Linked DNA regions of Rattus norvegicus. The protein of the gene in region 1 purifies or fractionates together with the protein of each later gene. This does not show direct contact. Links are inferred from orthologs where the notes say so. Each region holds a gene or a part of one and is shown in the gene's direction. Other genes may lie near its edges. The genes, in order: Cdc27, Anapc11, Ttk, Cdc26, Anapc2, Anapc7 and Cdh1.

What was found.
Region 2: the proteins of Cdc27 (region 1) and Anapc11 purify together in Homo sapiens (affinity purification with mass spectrometry; 8 studies listed by BioGRID, with this or other methods). This does not show direct contact. The link is inferred for Rattus norvegicus from reciprocal best matches to the Homo sapiens genes CDC27 and ANAPC11.
Region 3: the proteins of Cdc27 (region 1) and Ttk purify together in Homo sapiens (affinity purification with western blotting; 3 studies listed by BioGRID). This does not show direct contact. The link is inferred for Rattus norvegicus from reciprocal best matches to the Homo sapiens genes CDC27 and TTK.
Region 4: the proteins of Cdc27 (region 1) and Cdc26 purify together in Homo sapiens (affinity purification with mass spectrometry; 12 studies listed by BioGRID and IntAct, with this or other methods). This does not show direct contact. The link is inferred for Rattus norvegicus from reciprocal best matches to the Homo sapiens genes CDC27 and CDC26.
Region 5: the proteins of Cdc27 (region 1) and Anapc2 purify together in Homo sapiens (affinity purification with western blotting; 20 studies listed by BioGRID and IntAct, with this or other methods). This does not show direct contact. The link is inferred for Rattus norvegicus from reciprocal best matches to the Homo sapiens genes CDC27 and ANAPC2.
Region 6: the proteins of Cdc27 (region 1) and Anapc7 purify together in Homo sapiens (affinity purification with western blotting; 23 studies listed by BioGRID and IntAct, with this or other methods). This does not show direct contact. The link is inferred for Rattus norvegicus from reciprocal best matches to the Homo sapiens genes CDC27 and ANAPC7.
Region 7: the proteins of Cdc27 (region 1) and Cdh1 purify together in Homo sapiens (affinity purification with western blotting; 4 studies listed by BioGRID and IntAct, with this or other methods). This does not show direct contact. The link is inferred for Rattus norvegicus from reciprocal best matches to the Homo sapiens genes CDC27 and CDH1.

The regions. Positions count from the first base shown.
Region 1 is NC_086028.1:89,915,271-89,918,770, reverse strand, and holds part of Cdc27 (cell division cycle protein 27 homolog), read left to right. Parts: intron 1-31; coding exon 32-239; intron 240-824; coding exon 825-997; intron 998-3,500. UniProt on the Homo sapiens protein: Component of the anaphase promoting complex/cyclosome (APC/C), a cell cycle-regulated E3 ubiquitin ligase that controls progression through mitosis and the G1 phase of the cell cycle.
Region 2 is NC_086028.1:106,380,134-106,383,633, forward strand, and holds part of Anapc11 (anaphase-promoting complex subunit 11), read left to right. Parts: intron 1-1,609; coding exon 1,610-1,755; 3' UTR 1,756-3,500. UniProt on the Homo sapiens protein: Together with the cullin protein ANAPC2, constitutes the catalytic component of the anaphase promoting complex/cyclosome (APC/C), a cell cycle-regulated E3 ubiquitin ligase that controls progression through mitosis and the G1 phase of the cell cycle.
Region 3 is NC_086026.1:93,641,139-93,644,638, forward strand, and holds part of Ttk (dual specificity protein kinase TTK), read left to right. Parts: intron 1-182; coding exon 183-289; intron 290-3,497; coding exon 3,498-3,500.
Region 4 is NC_086023.1:80,872,527-80,876,730, reverse strand, and holds the start of Cdc26 (anaphase-promoting complex subunit CDC26), read left to right. Parts: upstream 1-1,404; 5' UTR 1,405-1,472; intron 1,473-4,200; exon of another isoform or gene 4,201-4,204. Other genes in the region: Prpf4 (U4/U6 small nuclear ribonucleoprotein Prp4), read right to left, coding at 268-445, 1,119-1,145. UniProt on the Homo sapiens protein: Component of the anaphase promoting complex/cyclosome (APC/C), a cell cycle-regulated E3 ubiquitin ligase that controls progression through mitosis and the G1 phase of the cell cycle.
Region 5 is NC_086021.1:28,491,128-28,494,627, forward strand, and holds part of Anapc2 (anaphase-promoting complex subunit 2), read left to right. Parts: intron 1-292; coding exon 293-368; intron 369-448; coding exon 449-652; intron 653-3,500. UniProt on the Homo sapiens protein: Together with the RING-H2 protein ANAPC11, constitutes the catalytic component of the anaphase promoting complex/cyclosome (APC/C), a cell cycle-regulated E3 ubiquitin ligase that controls progression through mitosis and the G1 phase of the cell cycle.
Region 6 is NC_086030.1:39,793,849-39,797,614, reverse strand, and holds the end of Anapc7 (anaphase-promoting complex subunit 7), read left to right. Parts: intron 1-699; coding exon 700-850; intron 851-2,473; coding exon 2,474-2,663; 3' UTR 2,664-3,266; downstream 3,267-3,766. UniProt on the Homo sapiens protein: Component of the anaphase promoting complex/cyclosome (APC/C), a cell cycle-regulated E3 ubiquitin ligase that controls progression through mitosis and the G1 phase of the cell cycle.
Region 7 is NC_086037.1:51,464,678-51,468,177, forward strand, and holds part of Cdh1 (cadherin-1 precursor), read left to right. Parts: intron 1-643; coding exon 644-868; intron 869-1,132; coding exon 1,133-1,360; intron 1,361-2,406; coding exon 2,407-2,537; intron 2,538-3,205; coding exon 3,206-3,349; intron 3,350-3,500.

The DNA.
Region 1 (3,500 bases):
TGATAAGCCTGGATTTTATTCCTTTCCACAGGAGAATAGCAAAAAGTTAAAAATGAAGTTTCCACCTAAAATCCCAAACAGAAAAACAAAAAGTAAAACTAATAAAGGAGGAATAACTCAACCCAACATAAACGATAGTCTGGAAATTACAAAATTGGACTCTTCTATCATTTCAGAAGGGAAAATATCCACAATCACACCTCAGATCCAGGCATTTAACCTACAAAAGGCAGCAGCAGGTCTGTTTATAAAGCTTACTGTACTTCCTGTATTTCTGCTTTATTTTATACTTATTTTGATTAAGTTTCTTCATGCCTTATTGTTTTTAGATTAATGCTGGCACTAAAGGTTATTTTAATGGATATTTTTATGTTTTGAAGTTTGTGTCTCTTATCTGTTTCTATGGCTGTGTTTATCTCAAAGAAGCCCAGATTGGGTGTGAATCCCACAGGATGGGAGTTGTAGATGGTGTGAGCTACCGTGTAAATGCTGGGAACTGGACAAAAGTGCTTTTAACAACTGAGCCCCTTTTAAAAACCTTTTTAACTTAATTACATTTTATTTTATTTCATTGAGAGAGGTTGTGTGTGTGTGTGTGTGTGTGTGTGTGTGTGTGTGTGTGTGTGTGTGTGTGTGTGTACACATGTATGTATGTGGTCCCAGGGATCAAACTCAGGTCATCAGTCAAGAACCTTTAACCACCAAGCAATCATGTCAGCCCAAATACTGGAAATTTTTTAAAGGAATAGTTTGTAGTTAACGGTTTTAGAAAACCAAAGTTGTGTGTATTTTTCTCCTTTGTTTATCATATTGTTTTCTCCTAGAAGGTTTGATGAGCCTTCTTCGTGAAATGGGAAAAGGTTATTTAGCTTTGTGTTCATACAACTGCAAAGAAGCTATAAATATTCTGAGCCACCTACCTTCTCACCACTACAGTACTGGCTGGGTCCTGTGCCAGATTGGACGGGCTTATTTTGAACTTTCAGAATACATGCAGGTAAATATACCAAGATACATATACTTCCTAGAATTAATTTAACTTTTATGCTGAAGGCTGATCCTAACAATTAATATTCATTTATTATATAATTGTTTTCCTAGTATGTATAACTGTCATAATTAGGATTACTATTGCTGTAGTGAAACACCAGACCAGAAGCAACTTGGAGAGGAAAGGGTTTATTTTGCTCACAGTTCCTTGTAACAGTTCATCATTGAAAGCAGTGAGGGGCCTGGAGAGCTGGCTCAGGTCAGCAGTTTAGAGCACTAGCTGTTCTTCTAGAGGTCCTGAGTTCAATTCTCAGCATTCACATACCCACACGGTGTCTCACAGCCATCTGTATGGGATCCGATGCCCTCTTCTGGTGTGTCTGAAGACAGTGACAGTGTACTCACATACAATAAATTTTTTTAAAAAAAGCAGTAAGGGCAGGAACCTGGAGGCGGGAGCTGATGTAGGTGGAGGGTGCTGCTTACTGGCTTACTCCTCATGCTCAGCCAGTTTTCTTACAGAACCCAGGACCACCAACCCACAGATGGCACCACCCATGATGAGCTGGGCCCTCTTCCATCAATCACTAATTTAAAAAACACCATTCTGTAGGATCTTATGGAGGTGTTTCCTTGGTTGAGGTTCCATTTTTTTTTTTTCTAGATTAACTCTAGCTTATATCAAATTAATATAAAACTAAGAGACACAATAATTTATAAATAAAATCATTTCTTATATTGAGAGAATCTAACCTTAGTGGGCTTTCTTGAAAAGGATTTTAGAGAACAATCATCAAGTTAATGTAAATTATACACTGATCTGAATGTTTGGCATTTAGTGTGCTTTATAAACTTAATGCTATGAAGAATATTATATTTAATTGAAGATGTCCTAATAACAGGCTTTTTTTTTTTTTCTTTTGAGGCAGAATCTTTTCACCTCTTAGCTCTGGCTGGCCTGGAACCCGCTATCTACATCAGCCTCATCTCTAATGCTAGGGTTAAAGGCATATACCACCAGACTTGGCTGGTTTTGTTTTTGGGATAGGGTTGCATGTAGGCCAGACTGTCCCTGAATTCTATAAGCCAGGATTACTCAAACTCCTAATTCTCTTCTCTTCCCTCTTAGATTACAGAAATCTCCTACCATCCCAATTTATGAACCCATGTAGGAGTTGAATCCAGGGCTCCATACATGCTACACCAACCTTACCAACTGAGAGAGACTTCAGTTTCTTTTTTGTTCTCAGAGATCATAATCACCTGTGAAGTTTAGTTTGTTTTGGGGGTTTTAGGGTTTTTTGTTGTTGGGCGGATGGGTGTGTGTGTGCACACATGAGCACACGAGAGAGATGGGGCGGGGAGGTTTCTGTTTAATCCCCTGCTGGCCTCATACTCAGAGATCCACCTGCCTTTGCCTCCCAAGTGCTGGGACTAAAAGCATGCAGTGCCACCACCACCAGGCTTTATTTTAGAGACAGGGTCTTGCTGTGTAGACCAGGGCCACCTTGAGTTCATCTATGGCCCAGGCCAGCCTCAACTTGCTAGTCCTGTTGTTGCTTTTGTATTCAGTTGTAGCTGATAATTGATTTTTGAAAGGTGACAATAGCTTCTGAAAGTTTTGAAGCCAAAAGGTTTCTGTGTGGTTAATTACTTTGTTATGTCATATAACATAACAATTTGTATGTTTTTTTAGAAGCACTTATAACTTTTAAAGAGATTCAAGGGGACTTAAAAAACAGTAAACTGATTCTGCGTGACAAATCACTGTGTTTGGGGCAAATGGTTCCAGTTTTATAAATGGTCTTTCCCAGGACTGGAGATTGACCCAGCAGCTAACAGCACTTGCTGTACCTGTAGAGGTCCAGTTCCCAGCACCACAGTTGTCTCCCAGTCGTCTGTAACTCCATCTCTAAGGCTTTGATGGGCTCGTCTGGCCTCTCAAGTACCCACTTACATAAAGTCAAATGACAGTTCTTTCCTTAATTTCTGTCATGTTCATTATGAATACATCCCAAATATTCCTTATTCTCAACTGTGACTTTGAACATTTTGACTTACTAAGGTGTCAAAACTAGGTAACACATCAGTCCTATAAATGTGAAGTTTTTATAAAATTTATAAGAAGCACGGTTTTAGAAAGTGTAAATATTTTGAGAGAGATAAAGGTGACCTGTTAGCTCTGGGGAGGCCTTAGAAAGAGTCTGTTGGTCGTGGGTCCTGTGCCTCCAGCAGACACAGGGCTCGGTGGTGCTCGGCACTCGGCGTGCAATGGAGTTGGTAGCTGTTCACCTTTTTAGCCTCTAAAAGTTTCAGCTCAGCTTTTCATTAAGTTCATGTTCTCTGTCTGTCTGTCTGTGTCTGTCTTCTCTCCCCCTCTTCTCCCTCCCTCTCTCTCTTTAAAATTGTGTCATATGTGAGTGCTTGCATCCACAGGAGGATATTAGATCCCCTGGAACTGCAATTCCTGATAGTTGTAAGCTGCTGTGTGAGTGCTGGGAACCAAAGCC
Region 2 (3,500 bases), about 16 Mb from region 1:
AAATTAAGTTATGAAGACCATAATAAATCTGTTCTAGGACCCTGGGGGCTTTAGGGCACAACAGTCTTACGAAGAGGCTTTTAATTAAAAGTAATTCCATCAAGGCACTAGCAAGTCCTTGCATGAGTCACCCTCAGCGCACCAGCTCACTCATGGATGACTCCAGCTTGCTGCCTGCAGGGACATCTTGAGAACAAGACAGTATCTTCCTCCGAGTGATTACCCACACGGGGGCCAGCTCAGTAACCCCTGTCAGTGAGCTAGTGGGGTCCACGTCTAACTGGAAGAGAGTGTCTTCAAGCAGAGTTCTGCTGAAGTTAGCAGCCACCAGTGGTGGCTTTAATCCCTGCACTTGGCCAGCCTGGTCTACAGAGTAAGTTCCACCAGCTTTGCATAGAGAAACCTTGTCCTTAAAACAAGAAGGAAGGAAGGAAGGGAGGAAGGAAGGAAGGAAGAGGCTTGGTAGATATGACAGACACAGCACTGGTGCCCCCAGGTAGACTGGGTGCCGTGAGGCTCAACTGATGTGAGGCAGGTGCTCTGAGCGCTACGTTCTTCAGTGGGGTTTTCTAGGCCCTGGAAGTCAGGAATGTTTGTTTTTAAACAGGCTCTCATTTCTCTTGAATCCTCTTGCCTCCGCCTCCCTTCCTGAGTGCTGGGATTATCCTCTTAGGTAAGGCTTGGGGAGAATGCAGGGCGTTGGACATTCTGAACAACCCTTCTACTGGTGGAGCTACATTTCCCGTAAACCCCCCCCCCCCAGTGTTTGTTTTTAAATTTTACTTTAAAAAGGCTTATCTATTTTTATTTTACATGTTTCGCCTGAGTGTATATCTGTACCACATGCCTGCAGTGCCTGGGGGAACCGGAAGAGGGTGTCAGATCTGCTAGGATTGGAGTACAAATGGCTGTGAGCTGTCATGTGGAGGCTGGGAACTGAACCCTGGGTCCTGGGCGAGATCAGCAAGTGCCCTTAACTCTGCAGCCCCTGTTAGCTCTGATTATGACAGTCCATCTCGGCTTGGACTTAATCCACATCTCCAAGCCTGTAGAGGGCCTGTGGCCTGGGCCCTGGCTTTGGACGGAAGTAGGAGTTGAGGGTTCAGGTAAAGAAGAGAAGGTTAACAGATGCTGATGAGTCCCACTAGTAACTGTCCCAGAAACACCTATGTCCCCAAGGTCTGCAGTGCAGTACATCTCTGATGTCTAGGAAAGGAGCTTTCTAAGTTCCAGGATGTCTGCAATGAAGACAGAGTTCTCCACTCAGGCTGTGACTTTTCGGCTCTTCAGCACTTTGGTCATTAATGCTGCCTTTCCGTAGAAAGGTGTGAGAGGGGGACCGGAAACCAGTGGGCTGGGCTGGGCTGGGTCTCCCCTCTGAGGACACTTTACTTGCCTCTGAGGGAGTCACTGCAGATTTTTTATTCGAGGGCCATGTCTGGGGATAATTGGGTAGCACTCCTACTCTTTGTCTCTTCTGATGTGGGAGGCCTGAGAGGCTCTCTGCCTGCGGACTAGAGCTGTTTACTAATGTCCCAGAGGCCTGCCTGGCTTGTCACATGCTCAGTGTGTCTTCTTCCTAAGGCCTGTCTGTCTCCCCTTCTTGCAGGTAAGGTGCCTGGTGACGACTGTCCCCTGGTGTGGGGACAGTGCTCTCACTGCTTCCATATGCACTGCATCCTCAAGTGGCTGAACGCACAGCAGGTGCAGCAGCACTGCCCCATGTGTCGACAGGAGTGGAAGTTCAAAGAGTGAAGCCTGCCATGCCCACTCCCTTCTCCCAGCGCTGTGCCAGGCTCAGCCCCACCTTTCCCTTCCCCAGATAGGGCATCCCGAGTCCCCTCCACACAGCTCAGGGGTGCCCAGGGACCCCATTCTGTGCTGGGGACAAGGATGCTTTCTGTTTGGCTGAGACGAGGTGGAAACGAGGACTGGAGCTTTGCTGGGTGTTTTGTTTTTCCCATCACATTGACACTTTTATTAAATAAGTAAAACTCATTAAAGTTCTGAGCCGCTGGAGGCCTCTGCTTGCCTGTTTTCCCTGACATATTGATGCAGCTGCAGCATGTTTTGCTGTGAACACACTCATAAATAAACAGTTTGGTAAAGTATCAGCCAAGACCTTCATCATAATCTGAGTCACAGCTCCGACAGGAAGAGTGGAAGAGACTCGGGCAGGGCCAAGCTGGGCAAAGACTTTAGGGTGTGTTTGTGTCAAGGGCCTAGCAGCCAGCACATAGCCCACCAGCTGCCCTAGTCTTCTGGGAGTCCCAGGATCTCTTCCCATCCTACCCCTAGCTGAGCAAAGCTGGATGCTGCTCCTCCAGAGCCACTGTGGTTAGAGGAAGAGGTAGCTAAGCAGGCACCAGCCATGCCCAGATGACCTTGGAAGACTACTTCAGCAAGCTCTTGAGTCTCTTGCCTCTTCTTCAGGCTGAAAGCAGAGCTGGTGTAGGAGGATGTGGGTCCTCTGGTGTCTTAGGGAAGGACAGCCATTTGGAAACTCCTTTATTCCCATGGCGGTTGTGGGGTGGGGGGGATTATCAGCCATTGGGAAAACAGTAGCCCAGCCCTAGTGTGTTAAGCTCCTGGGTAGAGACCAATTTTGGCTGGTATCCGGGAGTCGTGGCCAGCTCCGCGCCTTGTCTTCACTGACCATTCCCAGTAACACCTTCACATTCCCTATGCGCTCTACAGCCTGGGGAGTAGACCACCATGGCTGGTTCCACCCATCTGTGTCATCATCATGTTTGTTGGCTACAAGACTCCCTGCCACCTCTGTGTGGTGTCCTTGGGGTACCTGAAGCAGACCCGTGCTGCTGGGAAACAACTTCATGTCACTCGGCTATCTATGGCATGCTGGTCTGGAGCTGGCACCAACTATCAGGAGTGAAGAAGGCCACTTCCTGGTGTAACTCAGCCTAAGGATCGCGGAGCGCTGCAGAGGGAGCTGAGATTTGTGGATTTGGAGCTGCTTGGGCGGGCAGGTGTGGTCTGTCCTTGCTTGGTGGCTATGAAAGACTGAGGGGCAGGGTGCTAGGGTCAGCTTGTTTCTTCTTTTTTTTTTGGTTCTTTTTTTCGGAGCTGGGGACCGAACCCAGGGCCTTGCGCTTCCTAGGTAAGTGCTCTACCACTGAGCTAAATCCCCAGCCCCCAGCTTGTTTCTTCTATCTCCAGTCTGCCCACCCCCTTGGGGTGTCCTCCGTGCCTTTTCTAGGAACCTAGGAGTCTAGGAAGCACTCCTGACATCCTTATGCTCCCAGGTTCCTCCGTTCCCCTCAGAGTCCCTCATGGCCACACACGTCACTCATTCTGGGTTCCTTAGCACCCAGATTCCTTATGATGTGCTCATGTTGTCAGCAGCTCCTGGTCCCAGGGTCAACTCCACCTGCTTCCTCCAAAAAAGTCACCTGATAGACCAGCTATAGCTTGTGCTCACCCTGAGCCGCTTTCCCAGACAGGAACAGAAGGCCTTGTAGGAAGCTTACACCATTGGCCTC
Region 3 (3,500 bases), on another chromosome or scaffold:
ACTAGTACTTTTGTTCTTAATGTAAATTCTTTTCTGTGGACATAGATCCCTCAGAGTTAAGTTTGGACATTTCCTATAATGGTACATAAAGAATAGTCTACATCTTTAAAAAGGGAAGTTACCAAGTGTATTTGTTATGAGAGCTCTTGGTTTTTGAGTCTGAGTCTAGTCTCCTGTTGCAGTATTCAAGAACCTGACGATGCTCACGACTACTTCCAAATGGCCCGAGAGAACTGCAAGAAGTTTGCTTTCGTGCATGTCTCTTTCGCACAGTTTGAACTGTCTCAAGGTAATCTGAAAATATCACGTTTACATTTTGAGTGAAAGCACATTACTGTAGCATTAATATGGAATCACAGATTTGAAGTGAAATATTAAAGCAGAAATATTGCAGGGGATCAGATGAGCACGTGGAGTGGAGAGCTCCATGGTGTAAGTGTAAACTGTTCTCTGGGCTGTCTTTATCCTCAGAAGGACCGTTCTGTGGGAGCAAGTACACACACTGCATCTCTGTCCTTCACTCAGGATCCATCTGAAGGAATGTTTGTGTCCGTTGAGTTTTTGTGGAATAGATGATAAGACATTTTAGCTAGCACTTAGTCAGTCAAGGCTGTGGCTTCCAAGCACTGAGCGTGTTAAGATAATGCTGTGACACTGAGCTGCTGACCTCACACACCACTACAAGGACTGTCCCCTCGCTCGTGTCATCCATCAGTCTGTCTTTTGACTGAGGGCAGGACATCTTCCCTGAGACGTTTCTACCCTGTGTAGCCCTCAGCGTATCCTCTGGCCAAGTCTTTTTCTCCTCTGCTTACTGGTGCTGCTATTCTGATTTCGTGTACTGCAGTTGAGCATCAGCACAGCTAGCAGCGGCCCTCTGACAGTACCTAAAGTAAGGTTTGCAGGCTGCTCCCCAGAATTGAGGTAGGGAAATACTGTGTAACACAGACATGGTTTGAGAATTCGGAGTTTACCTATGGGATTCCTAAGCCAGTAAGTTAAATATGTAGTCAGCTGTGTCCGTGTAAAGCATACATTTCCTTCCTAGAAAAACTGATGCTTTCTTGCTTCTTATGGCAGATCTGGTCAGGCTTTAAAGACCCTGTGGCCTTTCAGTAGTAACTATAATTCTTACATCTTAGAACAAATAAATTGAGCTGACTATAAAAACAACTACATCACTGAAGTTTGGCAGCGGCCACCAGATCAAAATTGTGACTGTTTTGAACAGGGTGGGTGGATAGAGTGCTAGGAGCTACCTCAGCTTCACGAGGCCTGTGGCCTGATTCCCGTGTGCATGTATAGGGAAAGGGCTTCCCAGGTTCTGTATCTGATTCTCTAATGGACTTTTGACCTGAGTTAATAAGACCCTAAATTACTGGTGCTTCTCTAAGTCACTATTCTCAGTAAACATAGGGATTTAATCTTTAACATATATTCTTTAAAATTTGTAAATTGTGAGTAAGAGGTTATCTCTTGTTTTTAAAGGTTTTCTTATGGGCATATGTGGGATGTTGAGCATATCTCCTGCCCTCAGTTCTTTCTGCCCTCCCTTCCCCTCTTTAATCTCCTTGGCTGCCCTAGACAGTTTCACCTCTACTTGCATATATGTGTGTGTATGTGTATATGTGTACAGATATAGGTAGATGTAGATATGGATATATGATTTTGTGTTACTGTACAAAATATAGGACCATAAAAGAGGAAAAAAGACATTTATCGGGGTTGGGGATTTAGCTCAGTGGTAGAGCGCTTGCCTAGGAAGCTCAAGGCCCTGGGTTCGGCCCCCAGCTCCGGAAAAAAAAAAAAAAAAAAAAGACATCTATCTAAGGTTAGCTTAATTTGCTTAATGTGATTGTCTGTAGTTGTATCCATGTTCCTGCAAAAGTCACTACTTTATTCCTCATGGCTGAAAATGATTTCATTGTGTGTATGTACCACATTTTTGTCATCCATTTCTCTGTTGTGATATCTATATTGGCATCATAACTTAGCTGTTGTAAATAGTTTCTTCTTTTATGTCTATGAGTATTTTGCCTGCATGTATGTACTTAAACCATGTACATACATACCTGGCACCCACATGGGTCAGAAGCAGGCATTGGCCCCTGGAGTTGGTAAATGGTTGTGAGCTGCCATGCGGGTGCTGTGAACCAAATCCTGGTCCTCTACAAGAACAGCAAGTGCTCTTAACTACTGAGCCTTCTCTCCAGCTCTGCAGTGCTGCAGTAAACACTGGGGTGAGGGGTCCCTGTGGTACGTTGCACTGCAGTCCTTTGAGTAAACAAACATGTGGGAGAGGCAGAGGAGGTTCATCTCTTTCCTCTGTTGCTGGTGTGTTGAGAAACCTTGGTACTGATTTCCACAGAGGTTGGACTAGTCTGTATTTTCATTAGTGATGCTTACAATTTCTCTCTTGTCCACATTTGATCCAGCATTATTGTTTGTTTTTTATATTTGTTTTTTTTTAATGACTCCCATTCTGACTGGAGTAAAATGGATTCTTAATGTAGTTTGATTTGCATTTTTCTTTCCCTAGTGAAGTTAAACATTTTTTCATGTATTTATTGACCACTTGTATTTCTTCCTTCATGACTATCTTTTCATTATCTTATTTATTGATTTGGTTATTTTCTCGTTTCTTAGTTTTTTAAGTTCTTTGTATATTTTAGATATTAGGCCTCTATTAGATGCATAGCTGGCAAAGAACACCCATGTTCTCTACTTGATTAGCTATTTCCTTTGTTGTACAGAAGCTTTCTAATGTTGCTTGCCAGTTCGGCTCTCATTTTCTGAGCAAGTAGGACTCTATTCAGAAAGTCTTTTCCTGTGGTTAGGTATTGAAGTGTCTTTCTTACATGATATTCTTTATACCCTAAGTGCCATGTATAGCATTGTAGCCCGTGAATTCCGTGACTGCTGATATCATCCTGTGTGCTACGTGATGTACACATTGAACATTTACCAACTATTAAAGATCCAGCTTGTATTTGAAAGGAAATTTGATAACGTCTGGTTGAATAAACTTTTGTATTAGTTATTTTGTATTTTGGCAGTGGCATAGATTAATTTAACAGCAGATGTTAGCCCTCTAACTTTTTTTTTTTTAATAAATCCTTTTGCTAGAAAAGTTTTTAGCAAATTTTCACTCTTGATGACTAAATGTTATTATGAATAGTATATTATAACAAATGTTTGCTTTAATATGGAGAGTACTCAAGATGCTTCTAATTGCTGTAGTGTGTGTGTGTGTGTGTGTGTGTGTGTGTGTGTGTGTGTGTGTATGCACTAGTTTATTAAACTTCTAAATGGTTTTCAGTGGTGAGCAGGAATTGGGAAAGAGGACTTAACTCTGTGTGATAAGTGAGAAATTGTGTATTTGCTTATGCAGTAGTGTGAAGCAGTCTAATCTTTCCACTAGGTCTTAATGAATCAATGAGCTGGGAATAGTGGGCAAAGGGTCCTGCATCAAATAACAGTTGTTTTCCCTCTCTTAGGCA
Region 4 (4,204 bases), on another chromosome or scaffold:
GCTTTCGGCACCTGAAGTAGCTTCCCAGACCAATAAGTTTTGATCCTATAACATGACTCATCAGAGGGGCACAGTCGTGTACACCTGATTCTAGTACCAGGGAGGAGGCAGAAGCAGTGTGAGGTCACAGGCAAGAGTGTAGTGGAAAGATGAGAATGTGGTTCAGTGGCAGAACAGTTGCCTAGCATGCAAAAAACCCTGGGTTGGATTCCTAGCACTGTTAAAAAAGGGGGGGAGGGGGTGTGTGATTTTCAACTTGCATCTTACCAGACGTTATATTAATATTTCCTGCTTCAATGCCGGCTTTGAGTCCTTCTTTTCCCAAAATCCCAGACTCTCCTTTGGCCAGGCGTTCCCGCTCTTTCTCTTCCAAGCTTCCATAATAGATGTGTGGTTTCTTCACAACAGGAGCAACTAAATCGTCAGGTGCTTTAGTTTTGGTTGTCTGTTAAATCAAAGACCCCGATTAAGGTTTGGTCCTAGCAAACCATGCTTTCCAAAAGAATGAAGGAAATGCTGAGCCTTCATTTTATTTCCTCTCACAACTAGGACAAAGTCGAAAGTGACTTTGCGCCGAGCTCACGCTCTCGTTAAATTTGGCACACAATTACAATTAAACAATTTCTGTCTGATATGTCTTGGTTTGTTTTGGGGCCTGTTACTTTAATCTATTCGAAATGCAATCTCCGATTTTACGAAAATAACTTCTCGCCACTGGACATACACCCAAAACAACCCAAACAATTCGGCGCACCAAGTCACAATGTTACTGGAATACACATTTCAAATACTTTCAGAGCCTATTAGAAGTTGGGAGGCCTCATAAGTACCAGTCGTACAGCTTACGTCAAGACACTGCCCGATTTCAAAGAACTGTGCTTTGGAGCAGTCAGAAAAAGTGTTGTTCACTGCTCAGGGCTTAAGTAAGAGCAGTGCAAAAAGAGCTGCAGTTTAGGCGTTTAGAAATCAGGAAAAGGCTGCTAAGGTCCACACCACGGTCCCCCAGCCTTCCTCCTCCTCCTCCTCTGCCCGGACCCGTAAGGTAACGGCCCTTTCCCACGGGGACCGCGTCCTCCCTAGGAGAGGATAAGCATGAACTTAGATGCGGAACTCCGTACCGTGGAGGAGGCTCGTGAGGAGGCCATGCCGGGCTCTGGAGCCGCGAGGCCCTAGCCAAATCCCGTTCTGCTTTTCAGACCGGGAACCGCGCGCCTAGCAAAGTGGAAGTGCGTCACTGGCCGGAAATGTACCAGTTCGTGCTCTAGGAGTCGCGAAGTATCTTGGGAGTGGTAGTTGCCAAGTGTCGGCTGTCATCGATGGGCGTGGCCTTATAGAGCGGCACAACCTCTCGGGAGAAGAGGCGCGTGGGAAAAAAAGGCGCAGAGCAACTTGGGAAGTGTAGTTCGGGCTGCGTAGCAATGGAGTCAAGGTGGGAGTTGAGGTTCTGGGAAGCTTCAGAGGCCTGAAAAGAGGTAAGTTTGCGAATCGCAAGTCTAATCTGGAACAAACCAAGGGTCTCTGCTCTCCTTCGGGAGGCCTTCCGTCATTTTGAAACCGAGGCCTGTGCTGCCATTGAAATCTCTCCCTAGACTTCTGCAGCATTGGAGCTGGGAAAGAGGACTGTTGTTCACGACGGAAGTTCTCCGGGGGCCCCTGGTAACTGGGTGGCTACGAAGTGATTTTGTGCTTTAAGAAGACATTAAACTCGAAGAGCCTTCTAAGGCTAAAATAGAGATGTGGTGGAGGAGCTGCGGCCTAGTTTGTTGTTGTTTTACTTGTCTACAGCCTGTTCTTTTTATATGTTCTTTGAAATAAAGGGTCCAGGGAGGCGCCAGATAAAGTGTATACCAGCAGCTGCAGTTGCAATGATTGCTAGGCCGTCAGAGATATTTTTTTTTTAAACCCTTACATGAAAGTTGCGGGGATTGCAAAATATTCGCGTTTGCTGAGCTGAACAGACTCATTCTCACTCTTAAGCCTCTTTCTTCCCCGAACAACTCCAGTTAGAAGAGCACTTCCACTTCGAGGGCTTACTAAATGCCACGTTACGCGCAAGGAGCTTATTCTATCTTAGTTATTTAAGTCGCGGGACAACAAGAGTAAAGATCAGAAAATAAATTCTGGTGAGAAAAGGTAATCCGTCGTTCTGGAGCCACAGTGTAGTAGGGTTAGTAATGTGGCGGGTGGACTGCCGCGCTTTTAACCCGTACTCACTGTTGCTCTCTAGTGGTGAGGCTTTCAGTTCATACCCAAGTAGGAAATTATTTTTCTTAAGTATTTCTTCCCTTTCTCTTTGGAGCTGGCTTCCATTTCTCTACTTAGGGATCTGGTAGAAGGTAGTATCTGATAGAATAAAGCAGTTTGAATTGTCACAGGCCAGTGTTTTGTGTTGACCATATGGCCCCTTGAGATGTGATATAATGTGACACTCCTGAGAGAAGTGTAAGAAGTGTAAATGTTTCGTATACATCGTAGTCTTTTGTTTCATTCTGCTAGCATGCAATAATAATTTATATGGATGCACACTATATCGGAACTTTTTTTTTGCGGAACTTTCACGAAGATCATTATCACAACTTTTTATTCTAGTGGTCTATGAGTAACTTTTATAGGAGGCTATTTTGTTTTTTTTTTGGAAGACAGGGTTTCTCTGTGTAGCCCTGGATGCCCTGGAACATGTTCTGTAGACCAGGCTGACCTCAAACTTACAGAGATCTGCTTGCCTCTGCCTTCAGAGTGCTGGGATTAAAGGTGTGTGCCACCACCACCCGGCTTCTGAATTTGTTAATTAAACTGTTTGCTTCAACTTTATAAAACTGGAATAATTTTTCAAGCTTCCCAAGGCTTCTGTATTAAAGTAATATAAAGAATGGGAATGTGGGTTGGTTCAGTCGTAAAGGAGCCCATGCTAAGTGTGGTGTCCTACATAGTAGATGGAGAGAACCAACTCCCAGACATTGTCCTCTGACCTCTGCCTGTGGGCTATGTGCTTTCACCAGCACCCAACAAATAAATAGAACAAACTTTTTTTTAAGAGGCAAAAACTTTTGAGTTATCAAAGTGAGAAGAAAAACCAATAATGGGAGAGTCTAGAATTTAAGAAAAGTTAGTTTCACTTTCTCTATTTTTTATGGCTCAGTTTACTTTGTTGTGGATGCTGTGGAGGACATAGAGACAATACCTTCAACAGATACTAAAGTCAGCTTAGGTTTTCTTTTTTTCTTTTTCTTTTTTTCGGAGCTGGGGACCGAACCCAGGGCCTTGCGCTTGCTAGGCAAGTGCTCTACCACTGAGCTAAATCCCCAACCCCTTAGGTTTTCTTCTTAACTTTTGATTGATTCTTTGTGAACATCACATCATCCACCCCAGTCCCACTCATCTCCCTGTCCCTTTGCATCTGCCCTTGCAACCTCCCCCCTACAATAAGAAAATAAGATAGAATAAACAAAAATTTGTCATGGACTCTGTAGCACATCATGGTGTATCATGGAGTATACCCGTTTGTCCACACACCTAAACTTATAAATGCTCATTCAGTGCAATGAGTCATGGGCCTGTTTTAGGGCCTCTGGCTTTTGCTACACTATACTGGAACCTCACTAGGACTCCTCTCAGATATGTTGTTGCCCTGTGTCATGGAGATGTGACCCTGCAGCTTGTGCAGATCATAGATGGGGTAGATGCTGGGGTGGGCCAACTCAGAGCCCTGGATTTGGTCCTGGGAGGTAGCTGAGTTGATCAGCCTGCCACCTGTATCTGCACCATCCGGGTGAACTCTCCAACACTGCTCCAGCTAGTTTACCCAGTGCCACAGCTGGCAAGGGGGAGTGTCAGCTCTCCTGTTCTCAGGTCTTCAGGGACTACCTCATCCACGCCTTTCACCGGGGCTAGCTCTACTGCTGCCCAGGTGAGTTGCAGGGCCCACTCTACCGGGTGCTGCCAGCTCAAGTGTTTGTTCTGAAACAAACATGGGCTTTGTTAACACAAACCTTCATTCTCCATATGAACTTCTCTGACCTTAAGTCTGTCTGCCTACCCTTCAAATTCACTAAGACACCTTTTCCCATAGGGAATTGAGATCCCTAGCCACTCTTAGGCAGCCCACCCTCGGCTAGATGCTCATGCAGTGCTGTTGAAGGACCCTCCTTAGAGTTCTGTTTTTGCCCTAGATTGGCATGGTCTGTTGTGTTGTGTTTTCCCCACA
Region 5 (3,500 bases), on another chromosome or scaffold:
TAAGGAGCAAGGCTACACATATCATCACTTGGTGTACATGAGGATCTCCTCATCCCTGAGACAACCAGACTTTGGGTGGGTGGGTGGGGGCAGTAATTATCATTACAATACATAACAAAGACCAAACCTCAACAGCCAGAATGACCAAACTTTGGCCCTAGTCTTTTGCTTCCTGCTTTCCCTTCAGCCCAGTGTTTCCTGAGCAGGTGGGTTGTCTGGTCCAGCTGTCTGCTTAGGGTATCAGTTGAAATGGAGTCACATTGCAGCCCCTCACAGAAACTTGTCCTTGCAGGGAGATTCGTAATGTGGAGCTGTTGAAGCTGCGCTTTGGAGAAGCCCCCATGCACTTCTGTGAGGTCATGCTCAAGGTAAATACCCAGGACTGCCCCGAGAGTTGTGCCTACCATCACCATTAAGCCCAGGCCGTTGATGAGGTATCCTTTCTTAGGACATGGCAGATTCCCGCCGCATCAATGCCAATATCCGTGAGGAGGATGAGAAGCGGCCTGTGGAAGAACAGCCACCATTTGGGGTCTATGCCGTCATATTGTCCAGTGAATTTTGGCCTCCCTTCAAAGATGAGAAGCTGGAGGTCCCTGAGGACATCAGGGCAGCCCTGGATGTTTACTGCAAGAAGTATGAGAAACTGAAGGTACAGCCAGTAGGCCTCTGGGTAGTTTGTGTCTCTGATCAGACCATCAGACCCCACATAGAATTAGCCCATGTCCAGGTAGCACAGCTGAGCCCTAATGGTGTAGAGGTTAGAGTTCAGGGAGTGGTATGGCCAAATTCAAGGATCCTTCCTGAGCTGGTGTCAGTTATGACATGGGAGGCAAGAGTCTAACGCAGGTGGGGCAAGCGTCCTACTCTGGGTCATACATAAATGTGGGGCCAGCCTTGTCGGGTCAGGCTGGACACTGACGCCTCAGGCAGGCGTGCCATGGGGGCATCTGCAGCATCTTGTTCCTGATGAGCATAGTGCTGAGGCTCGTGCTTCTTCCTGGGATCAGAAGACCTTACGTGGCTTCATGCTAAGGATCTGTGCCCCTGGATGATCCCTTTGAGTACTTGAGGGGCAACAAAATCCAGTCAGAGGCCCTGACTGGAGAAATTAAAGAAGGGGAGTGTCTGTGTCAGTAGCCGTGAGAACCTTGCTACCTGGCTGAGTTTCTGAAAGAGTCTAAATATGGTCTTTGGCCTTTACTGACACCAGGTGAAAGTGTGGTTACTGGTCACCAGTATGTCCTGTTTTGGTTGAGTACCACAGCCCTACCACTTCCTGGCCAGTCCTGTGTACTCAGTGTCCTCTCCTACTGTTCCTCTGACCTATTTTGGTATGAGGTCCTCGTTGGCTTTGCTAAGTTTTTGCCCTGGGTCCTAGACATGACTTAGATGCGTCTTGTTGATCAGATCCAAAGAGTTAGGATGGCCATACACTAGTGTGACTCAATTTTTGGTGGTACTAGAATGGCTCTGGTAAACCCTAGGGCTGTGCTAAGAGGGCAAGCCTGTGGCCACAATAAAGTTATCTTTCACCAGCCAAGTTCCTAAAGGATCTGGCTGGGTTTGTGGGTGACTGACTATGCAGCCCATATATTGTGATGTATTGTGACCCTTTTTCAGGTCATGGCTTTAGAACCAGTGTTAGGATAGCTAAACTGGATGAAACCAGGGGAAGCCATTGATACTGCCTGTTTCTCTATCTGTAGAGTGAGTTTATTGGTATACTTCTCCGTTAAGAGCTACAGGGGTCCCAGAGGGTCTCAGGCCATCAGTTTTGCCACTAGGTCAGAGGTACCAGTGTCCTGGGTGTCCTTATGACATACTGCAGACACAGGTTTGCCAGATTAGAGCTGTATTGCTGAGTTGTGATGCCCCAGGATGCTCTAGGGAAACCATTTTTCCTGCCTCTCGCAGGAGCCCTAGCAGACCTAAGTAAATGGACTTTTTGTTTGTTTGTTTTGATTTTGTTTTTCGAGATAGGGTTTCTTTGTATAATCCTGGCTGTCCTGGAACTTACTCTGTAGACCAGGCTGGCCGCCAACTCAGAGATCCGCCTGCCTCTGCCTCCCGAGTGCTGGGATTAAAGGTGTGCACCACCCTTGCCCAGGTGGTAAATACATGTCTTTATGTCCAGGTTTTCTCTGTCTGTTCCTCTCTTCTTAGGATACCATTTATAATCAGATTAAGGACCAATTCTACTGCAGGACAACCTTATTTTAGCAGATTACTTATTTAATGACTCTGTTTCCAAATAAGGCCACATTTGGAGATAGGACTTACAGTGTCACTGGACAGTCAGTGTCCTGAGCTTTACTACTGTCTCTTTGAAGAGATACAGTTTGACCCATGGCAGTCTGTAGTTTCTAAAATTACTACTCTTCCCAGGAGCAAATTAGCCAATACCAGTATCTCCCAAGTAGCATCCCAACTGATGCTAACCACTTCAGCATCAGTTCTTAAAGTCTCTTCTAGTCCAGGGGGGCAGCACATGTCTATGATCCTAGCACTCAGGAGACTAAAGTAGTAGGACAGCAGGTTTCGTGTCCAGCTTGACGCTGTGACATTGTTTTGATCAGAGTCCATTGTTCAAACAAGCCTAGGTCAGAAATGGGCATTCCCAAAGGAACCTAGAAGGATCATGAGCCGAAAGCAAATCTGAAACCCAGCAGGCAGAGTTCACAGTCTGGCTCAGGCTTTGGCACCTGGCTTGCCTTGCAGCCCCGTGTGTACTCTCCCGTGCTGCTGTCACTTCATTCACGGTCAGCACTGCTGCTGGCATAACATTCAAAACCTTGGTGCTTTCCATGAAATGTGCAGTATCCAATTTATCAAGTAACGGCGTGGTCCTGAGCTGGTGACGCCTGTCCTCCCAGCCTTGGAAGGTGAGCACAGCAGCAGCATCCTAGTTTGAAGCTAGCTTGCTGTACATAGCAAGTTTCAAGGCAACTAGGGCTACAGAGTAAGGTCCTGTCTTTAAAAACAGGAAAAGAAAGGGAAGCGGTGGGTTGGGGATTTAGCTCAGTGGTAGAGCGCTTGCCTAGCAACCGCAAGGTCCTGGGTTCGGTCCCCCGCTCAAAAAAAAAAAAAAAAAAGAAAGGGAAGCGGTATCTTCCTGGCCATGCTGTGTGTTCTAGTGGATCTACAAGTCACAAGTCACACTCATCTCAGCGAACGTCTGGCCACAGCCTGGTGGTTTTCTGCCAGCTTCCCCCAGCGTCTAGTTTGTTCCTCACTTCGATCTGCGCTCTCACCAGAAGGTCCTCTTAATGTCCTCATCTCTACCAACATTATTCTCCACAGTCTGTGCAGTAACTCTCTCTTCTGAACCTTCACCAGCATCATCTCACCTGCCATATCGTTACAGCCCATTGGCTGTAACAGATCTAGGCTTTAACTTTCATGTGTTTCCCCAATGTACAAACAATTATAGCAGTTTCCCTCCCTCTCTAGAACATTTTTTTTTTTTTTTGAGACAGGGCTTCTCTGTATAGCCATGG
Region 6 (3,766 bases), on another chromosome or scaffold:
ACAGATGGTGGAGCAGTTCTGCCTGCACCTGCCTGAAGTGCTGTGTGTGTCACACCAGATGTGGCTTAGACCTGCTTAGGTTGGTTTACACCAGTTAACGTTACTTGGTAGCTGGTGAACTCATCTGGTTGGTTTAGTTTTGAACTCGTTTAGTGTGTTACAGCTGACTTTGGTCAGTTTGGTTCTGAGCTATCTGGATTCTCTTGTTCTTTTTGCTTCTGGCATATTCCTAAGTTTATTTGATGCTATCAAGAGGGTATTTTGGTTCAGGGTTCTAGTTCAGGGCCATTGGCCTCATCTGGTGCTGGCCTGGTCTGCAGAGGAGTTCCAGGACAGCTCGTCTGCAAAAAAAAAAAAAAAAAGTTTTTTTTAAAGATTCAGGGCACAGACTCAGTGGCTTGGGTAAAGAGGCCACCAAGACTGACGACCTCAGTTCAGTCCTCAGGACCTGCGTGATAGATAGATTGTCCTCTGACCTCCTCTCATGTGCTGTGTGTGCTTGCCCACACCACTGTATAAATAAGTTCATGGATGCATGGTTTTTAAAGACACAGTACTCATGTCATTTCCCAATGAACTAGAGACCACATGCCCCTCACCCCTGCAGCGCCCCTTTGAGGGGGTCTCTGAGAAAGTTGTCGTGTCATAGTGGGTGTGACTGTGCACTAGCTGAGCAGTAAAGGTTGTCTTTCTCTGCAGGCAGGGAGCAGAAGTACGAAGATGGAATTGCTCTGCTGAGAAATGCACTGGCCAACCAGAGCGACTGCGTCCTGCACCGCATCCTGGGGGACTTCCTGGTGTCTGTGAATGAGTACCAGGAAGCAATGGACCAGTATAGCATAGCACTGAGGTAGGTGCCCGGCCTCCATGGGGAGGAGAGGAAAGGAAGCAGGGCCCAGGCAGCTCTGCAGACAGCTGTGCCCAAGGTGAAGGCAGGCTAAGAATAGCAATGAGAGAAGGTATTTGCAAATTCATGACTCCTGACATATTTTCCTAAAGCATATTAGAAGAATTAGAGATGATCATCCTTCTCCAGCCCACATAAGAGTAACACCCAGACTGATCTGTGCGGCTCTCCTGTGCTTGCCCACACCCCCATGACGTCATAGGCTTATGCCGAGTACATATTTTACATTCTGCTTTTTATGATCAGAGTTTGCTAAGTGTGTGCTTCTGGTTTTGTCTGCTCTAGTAATTAAAAACTTAAATTCCGAAGTTTGAGTACAGCTTCTACCTGTTATCTTGGTCAAATACTAACCAATTCCCTGTCTATACCTACCTCATTGGGCATTAACTAGGGGTATCAAGATAATAATTGCTACATAATCGTGCAGACCCAAGTTCGATTCCCAAAACACATGTAAAGGTTGAAGGAGAGAATTGACTCCAAGGTTGTCCTCTGACGTGTGCGCCATGGCTTTTACACAACGCACAGACAATGTGTGTGTGTACACACAATAATACATTTAATTTTTTAATGTAAATTTCTAGGACTTTTCTTTTAAAGCTTTCTTAGGAGCCAAATAAATGAGGCTCCTGGGCTCTGGGCTTCATGGTGTTGCTACTAGTGAAACTGTCTTAGTCCAGCCCCTAGCCTCAGGACTTATGATCTGTCCCAGAGTGTAGCATGGTTGACGGCGGTGGCTGCCTGCAGTCCACGGTATAAAGTCACATGGAAGAATAACCAGCCTGGGGCAGGCTACATGCAATCATCATGTACCCGAGGCTGCCCGGGTGTCCTGATCCTGTTTCCCTCCTGGATGTGCTGGGCTGTGTCCTGTGCCTGGCCTCAAGCACCAGGCCTTCTGCGAGCACCGCTGCTCTGTCTGGTCACTGCCCCCGACTGCCCTCACTGCCTCCCCTGCTCCCACTGCCTCCCCTGCCCCCACTGTCCCCACTGTCCTCCACTGTCCTCCACTGCCCCCACTGCCTCCACTGCCCCCACTGCCTCCCATTGCCTCCACTTCCCCCACTGCCTCCACTGCCTACAGGAGAGTTAAGGGCTTGGTATTTGAGGAGCTTTAAAAACTTTTTGGAGGAAAATTTGAAGTTAGAATTTTTAATTGCCATTTTAAAGTGAATTGTTTATTAATTTATTTTATGTGGATGGGTTTGCTTGCATGAATGTCTGTGGACCATGTATGTGCCTGGTGCCCAGAGAGGCCAGAGGAGGGTGTCAGATACTTGGGAACTGGGGTCACTGTTGGTCATGAGTCATATATGGGTGCTGGGAACTGAACCCAGCAACAGATGCACTTGACCACTGAGCCACCTCTCCGGCCCCTTCAAGTTAAAAGTTCTAAAACTCCGAATAATGTCCCTTTTCATCTCTGATGGACTCCCTGGGTCCAGCCATGGAAGCACAGTTGTTTGCAACGTCTCTGGCTTAGTCATATCTGCTGGGCCAGCTCAGTGACAGTCCCAAGAAGCAGGGCAGAGACTCAGGCCTGTCTTCTGTTTTGTTGTTCCTCAGTTTGGACCCCAATGACCAGAAGTCCCTGGAGGGCATGCAGAAGATGGAGAAGGAGGGGAGCCCCACAGACGCCACTCAGGAGGACGACGTGGACGACATGGAGGGCAGTGGGGAAGAAGGGGACCTGGAGGGTAGCGACAGTGAGGCAGCCCAGTGGGCTGACCAGGAGCAGTGGTTTGGCATGCAGTGAGGGCACAGCGGTGACCCTTGTGTCCCTAGAGTGGCAGGAGCTGTTGGACGTGTGCTCACAGCAGGCCTTTCTGCCTGTTTCCTCAAGTTGGCACTGATGTTTGTCCGTCTGCTTTGCTGTGGACTGAGCGAGTTCCGAGCCACAGACTCGCCATTCTGGATGGTTCGGCTGCACGAAATGGAAGATGCTTTTTCTCTTTATGAGCGGGTACATAGGACTGAGCCATCCTCTTAAGAGCACATGCCCCTGGGTGGCCCTGTCAGAGGTTCGGTCCCTGGGAGTCACATCCTGGTACGGCCACACTCCTGTAGTCATGGAGCTCTGGATGGGGGGGGGCGGGCTGTGCCTCACTGACTGCAGAGCAGGCTCGGCCTCAGTGGGCAGATCTGAGAAGCAGATGATGGGAGCATGGCCACCCCAGGGCAGGTTCAACTAATAAAACTGCCCAGTGTGGTGTCACATGTCACAGTGGACACCCTTTGAGACTCTTCCTTTTTCCTCCTTGTCAGAGGCAGCCATGCAGGCCTAGACAGTTTGACATACATATACTCCCTATTCTCCCATGTGCTGGGAGGCAGAGCCCTGAGCTTGTCACACAGAACCAGCCTGGCTCTTTCCTGAGTCCCTGAGGGCAGGGTCAGCCTTGATCATCTGCCTAGAGTCTCATTCAGCTACTGGGGATGGGTCGACTCCAGGTCCCTCCTGGGTGCCTTTCAAGATGCAGATCGGTGTGCTAGGAAGAAATGAGGTTTACTGTAAAGAATCCGTAGTCGATTTCAGAGCATCTGTCAGTGCAGTGAAGTGGGCCACGTAGTCTGGTGGAAACATTCCGGAAGCCTGCACTTGGGAGGCAGAGGCAGACAGTTCAAATGTGCTGGGCTGCACTGCAAGATTTGCATTAAGAGACATAAGTTAAGCGGACCAGGTCTCATAAAGTGTGTCAGTGAGCCTCAGCCTCCACACTAGCCGGCCCTGAGCAGTCTCAGGCTCCCTTTGAGCAAGCAGCATGTGGGTGGTGCTTTTCCTGACTCCACCCCGCCAGCAGCCCCACTCACCAGTCAGTGCTGAGAGAAGGCAAAATCTGTTCAGCCACAAATTGAACC
Region 7 (3,500 bases), on another chromosome or scaffold:
ATACCCCAAGATTTTTTTGGAAAAAAAAATTTTTTTTTGAGACATGGTTTCCTGTATCACCCAGGCTAGTTTTGAACTCACCATGTAGCCACGAAAGGCCTTAAAATTGAGGTGACCCTCCCTTCCCTCATGCGTGGTTCTAAGATTCCAAAGAAAGTCTACCTCACTCTGCTTTTCCTTACCTTTTTTTTCCCTTTCTTTTCTTTTTTTCAGAGCTGGGGACCAAACCCAGGGCCTTGTGCTTGCTAGGCAAGCGCTCTACCACTGAGCTAAATCCCCAACCCCTTTTCCTTACTTTCTAATAAGATCTGCGAGAGCCAGGCTTTGGTAGGAGGTTGAGGCAGGGTGATTGTAATTCCAAAGGCAGCATGCTAAGACTTTGTCTCAAAAAACAAACAACAACAACAAAACAGTACCCCCCACCCCCGAATTAAAATGTGTGAGTAATAGACTAGGAAGAGAAGAAAGCTGCCTTTGAAATGAGAAATACACTCATTGTACACAGTGTGCAATAAACTTGTCAGAATTCTGAGACAAGGGCAGAGGCTCTGGTTTGCTCGGAACCTGCTGAGGGATCACAGATAAGCTAAGTCATCATTTGTCACTATCCTTCAGCTGTGACACCCTTTCTGTTTTCTCTTAGGTTCACCCATTGCCACTGGCACAGGGACTCTTCTCCTGGTCCTGTCAGACGTCAACGACAATGCTCCCATCCCAGAACCTCGAAATATGCAGTTCTGCCAGAGAAACCCGAAGCCCCATGTCATCACCATCTTGGATCCAGACCTTCCCCCAAACACATCCCCCTTCACTGCAGAGCTCACCCATGGGGCCAGCGTCAACTGGACCATTGAGTACAATGACGCAGGTGTGAAGGCTCACTGTTTTTAGAGAGGTTCTACCAGTCCCGCTTCACCCTTCCCTTTGATATTCGGCCCTAGTTCCTTACACATCTCATGCACACTCCTATTCCTCTGAGAGACATACTGCACAGTAATATGAGCTCCAAACAGTTCCTTCCCCCAGCACTGGATGCCCAGCACTTTGGTTCCCTAAACATTTTGATCCACTGAGCTATTCATTCTGTCCCCTCCCCTGGTTCCATCGTTTCTTTTTTTTTTCCTTTCCCCAGAACAAGAATCTCTCATTTTGCAACCAAGAAAGGACTTAGAGATTGGCGAATACAAAATCAATCTCAAGCTCTCGGATAACCAGAATAAAGACCAGGTGACCACGTTGGAGGTCCACGTGTGTGACTGTGAAGGGACCGTCAACAACTGCATGAAGGCGATCTCCCTGGAAGCAGGATTACAAGTTCCCGCCATCCTTGGAATCCTGGGAGGGATCCTGGCCCTCCTGAGTAAGTCCAGGTCGCAGGTGCCTCAAAACGGGGAAGGACCATCTGCTAAGAGGAGCTGGTAGTTGGAGTACAGAGCAAACTGGTGATGACGTGGAGTTGGGTGCGGGAGCCTTCTGTCTCTTTGTGCTCCCCTAGATTGAGGACATGCAAGTCACCTGTGCCCCTCAGTAAAGTGGGACTTTAGACCCAGCATTCCTAGCAGGACTCCGCAGAGGCTCCATTTTAAACCAGTCCCCAAGAAATGCTGAGCTGGCAGCAAGGGTATCGCACACTATTCTCGGTAGCATAGTTTAGCGGCCAGTTAACCACCCCCTCTGCATTCCATCCTGGAGGGCAGATGAAAGAGGAAGTAGAGGCCACCTAACTGCAAGTTGTAGATGTCGCCACCACTTGCATCTCGTTGGCTCAAATGTAGCCATACCAAGTTACAAGGAACCCTGGGAGCTCTTGCTCTTAACTGGGTGACGAGAGCCCATGGAATGTCTGGGAGGCAGTGGAGATGGAGGGTCAAGTGAACAATGGTATCTAATCCATGGCTGAAAAATTGAAAGAGAATGGAGATGCTGGAGGGAATCTGTCATTTCTGTCCATAGTCCTTGGTCTGATTTTACCTGGAGAGAGTTCTGGGCTTGGTGCCAATGCCGTGAGGATTTCAATGATCAAGGGTTTGTGGGGATTTTTCGTTTGTTTGCTTTGTTTTATTTTTTAATTGTTTATTGAGAACATACCTGACCTTTTTTTTTTAAATTTTTTTGGGGGGCAGTCGATATGTTTTATTAGACTTGGCTAAAGTGGAAATTCTCCTATCAGATGTTTGAAGCATAAGTGGTATCAGGAGCCAGACGTCACACTTGTTTATTATTTCTGTTGTATTGTTTCTTGAGAAATGGTCTCCTCTGACTGAACATGAGATAGTCTTCATTCAGGTGGCTACCCACCCGCCGCCTGCCTGGTGGTGTAAGACTGTGTGGTTCCGGGATGGCTGCTTCCTCTGCTTTCTTGCCTGTGACTCATCACTTTTCCCTCCCTCCCTTCCCTGTCTCCAGTTCTGATCCTCCTGCTCCTACTGTTTCTACGGAGGAGAACGGTGGTCAAAGAGCCCTTGCTGCCACCAGATGACGATACCCGGGACAATGTGTATTACTATGATGAAGAGGGAGGTGGAGAAGAAGACCAGGTGGGTTTTAAAGATGGAGAACTTCATGTCTGACTGAGGCTACTTCATTGGCTACATGTCTGTCATGTAGGCTACTTCATTCACCCTGCTGTACGGCTATGGAGCACAGACCTCTATGGTCACAAGAATTCCAGACACTCTAGTGTTTGCTGCAGTGTTTGTTGATCACATCGAGGCTCACAACGTCTGTAAATCAGTGAGGACTGCTAATCTCGCAGAATTGAGATGAAAGGCCCTAAGCCGCATCCTGTGCTCAGGTCTGCTGCGTGGGAGCCTCGTGTGAGTTGCAGTAGGAATGCATCACTGCTGTCTTATTGCCTCAAGCCCCTCACATGACAGAGCCCATTGCTGACAGACAGGACACTACTTGCATCGGCTGTGGTGGGGAGGACTAAGTGTTTGCCAAGTGATAACCTGATAATCATGTCCCATGAAACGAGTAGGACACAATAACTTGAGTTCATGCCATCCCCAAGGTCTCCTTTTTCTTTCAGTTTGAGTTAGGAGACTTTTTAATTTGCAAAATGCCATTTTACATACATTTGGTCACTCGGGGGTCATTTGGCGTTTTCCATAGGCACAGTCTGTGATGCCATGAAGCAAACCCTGCCCTGTGCAATGCAGATGCTTCTTTATCACGTGTTGTCATGTTCTGCTCTTCTCTCTAGGACTTTGATTTGAGCCAGCTGCACAGGGGCCTTGATGCCAGACCGGAAGTGATTCGAAATGATGTGGCTCCCACCCTCATGAGCATGCCCCAGTATCGTCCCCGTCCAGCCAATCCTGATGAAATCGGGAACTTCATCGATGAAGTAAGTAGGCAAAACCGTGAGCCAAGGCAAGTGCATCTCTTAACGCAGAACCAAGGAGAAAACCATTCCAGTGAGGAATGTTGCCTTCCTGGGCCTACGTCCCCGAGACAAAAGCAAAGTCTACTTGCAAAGATTTGGTAGACCTAGAAGG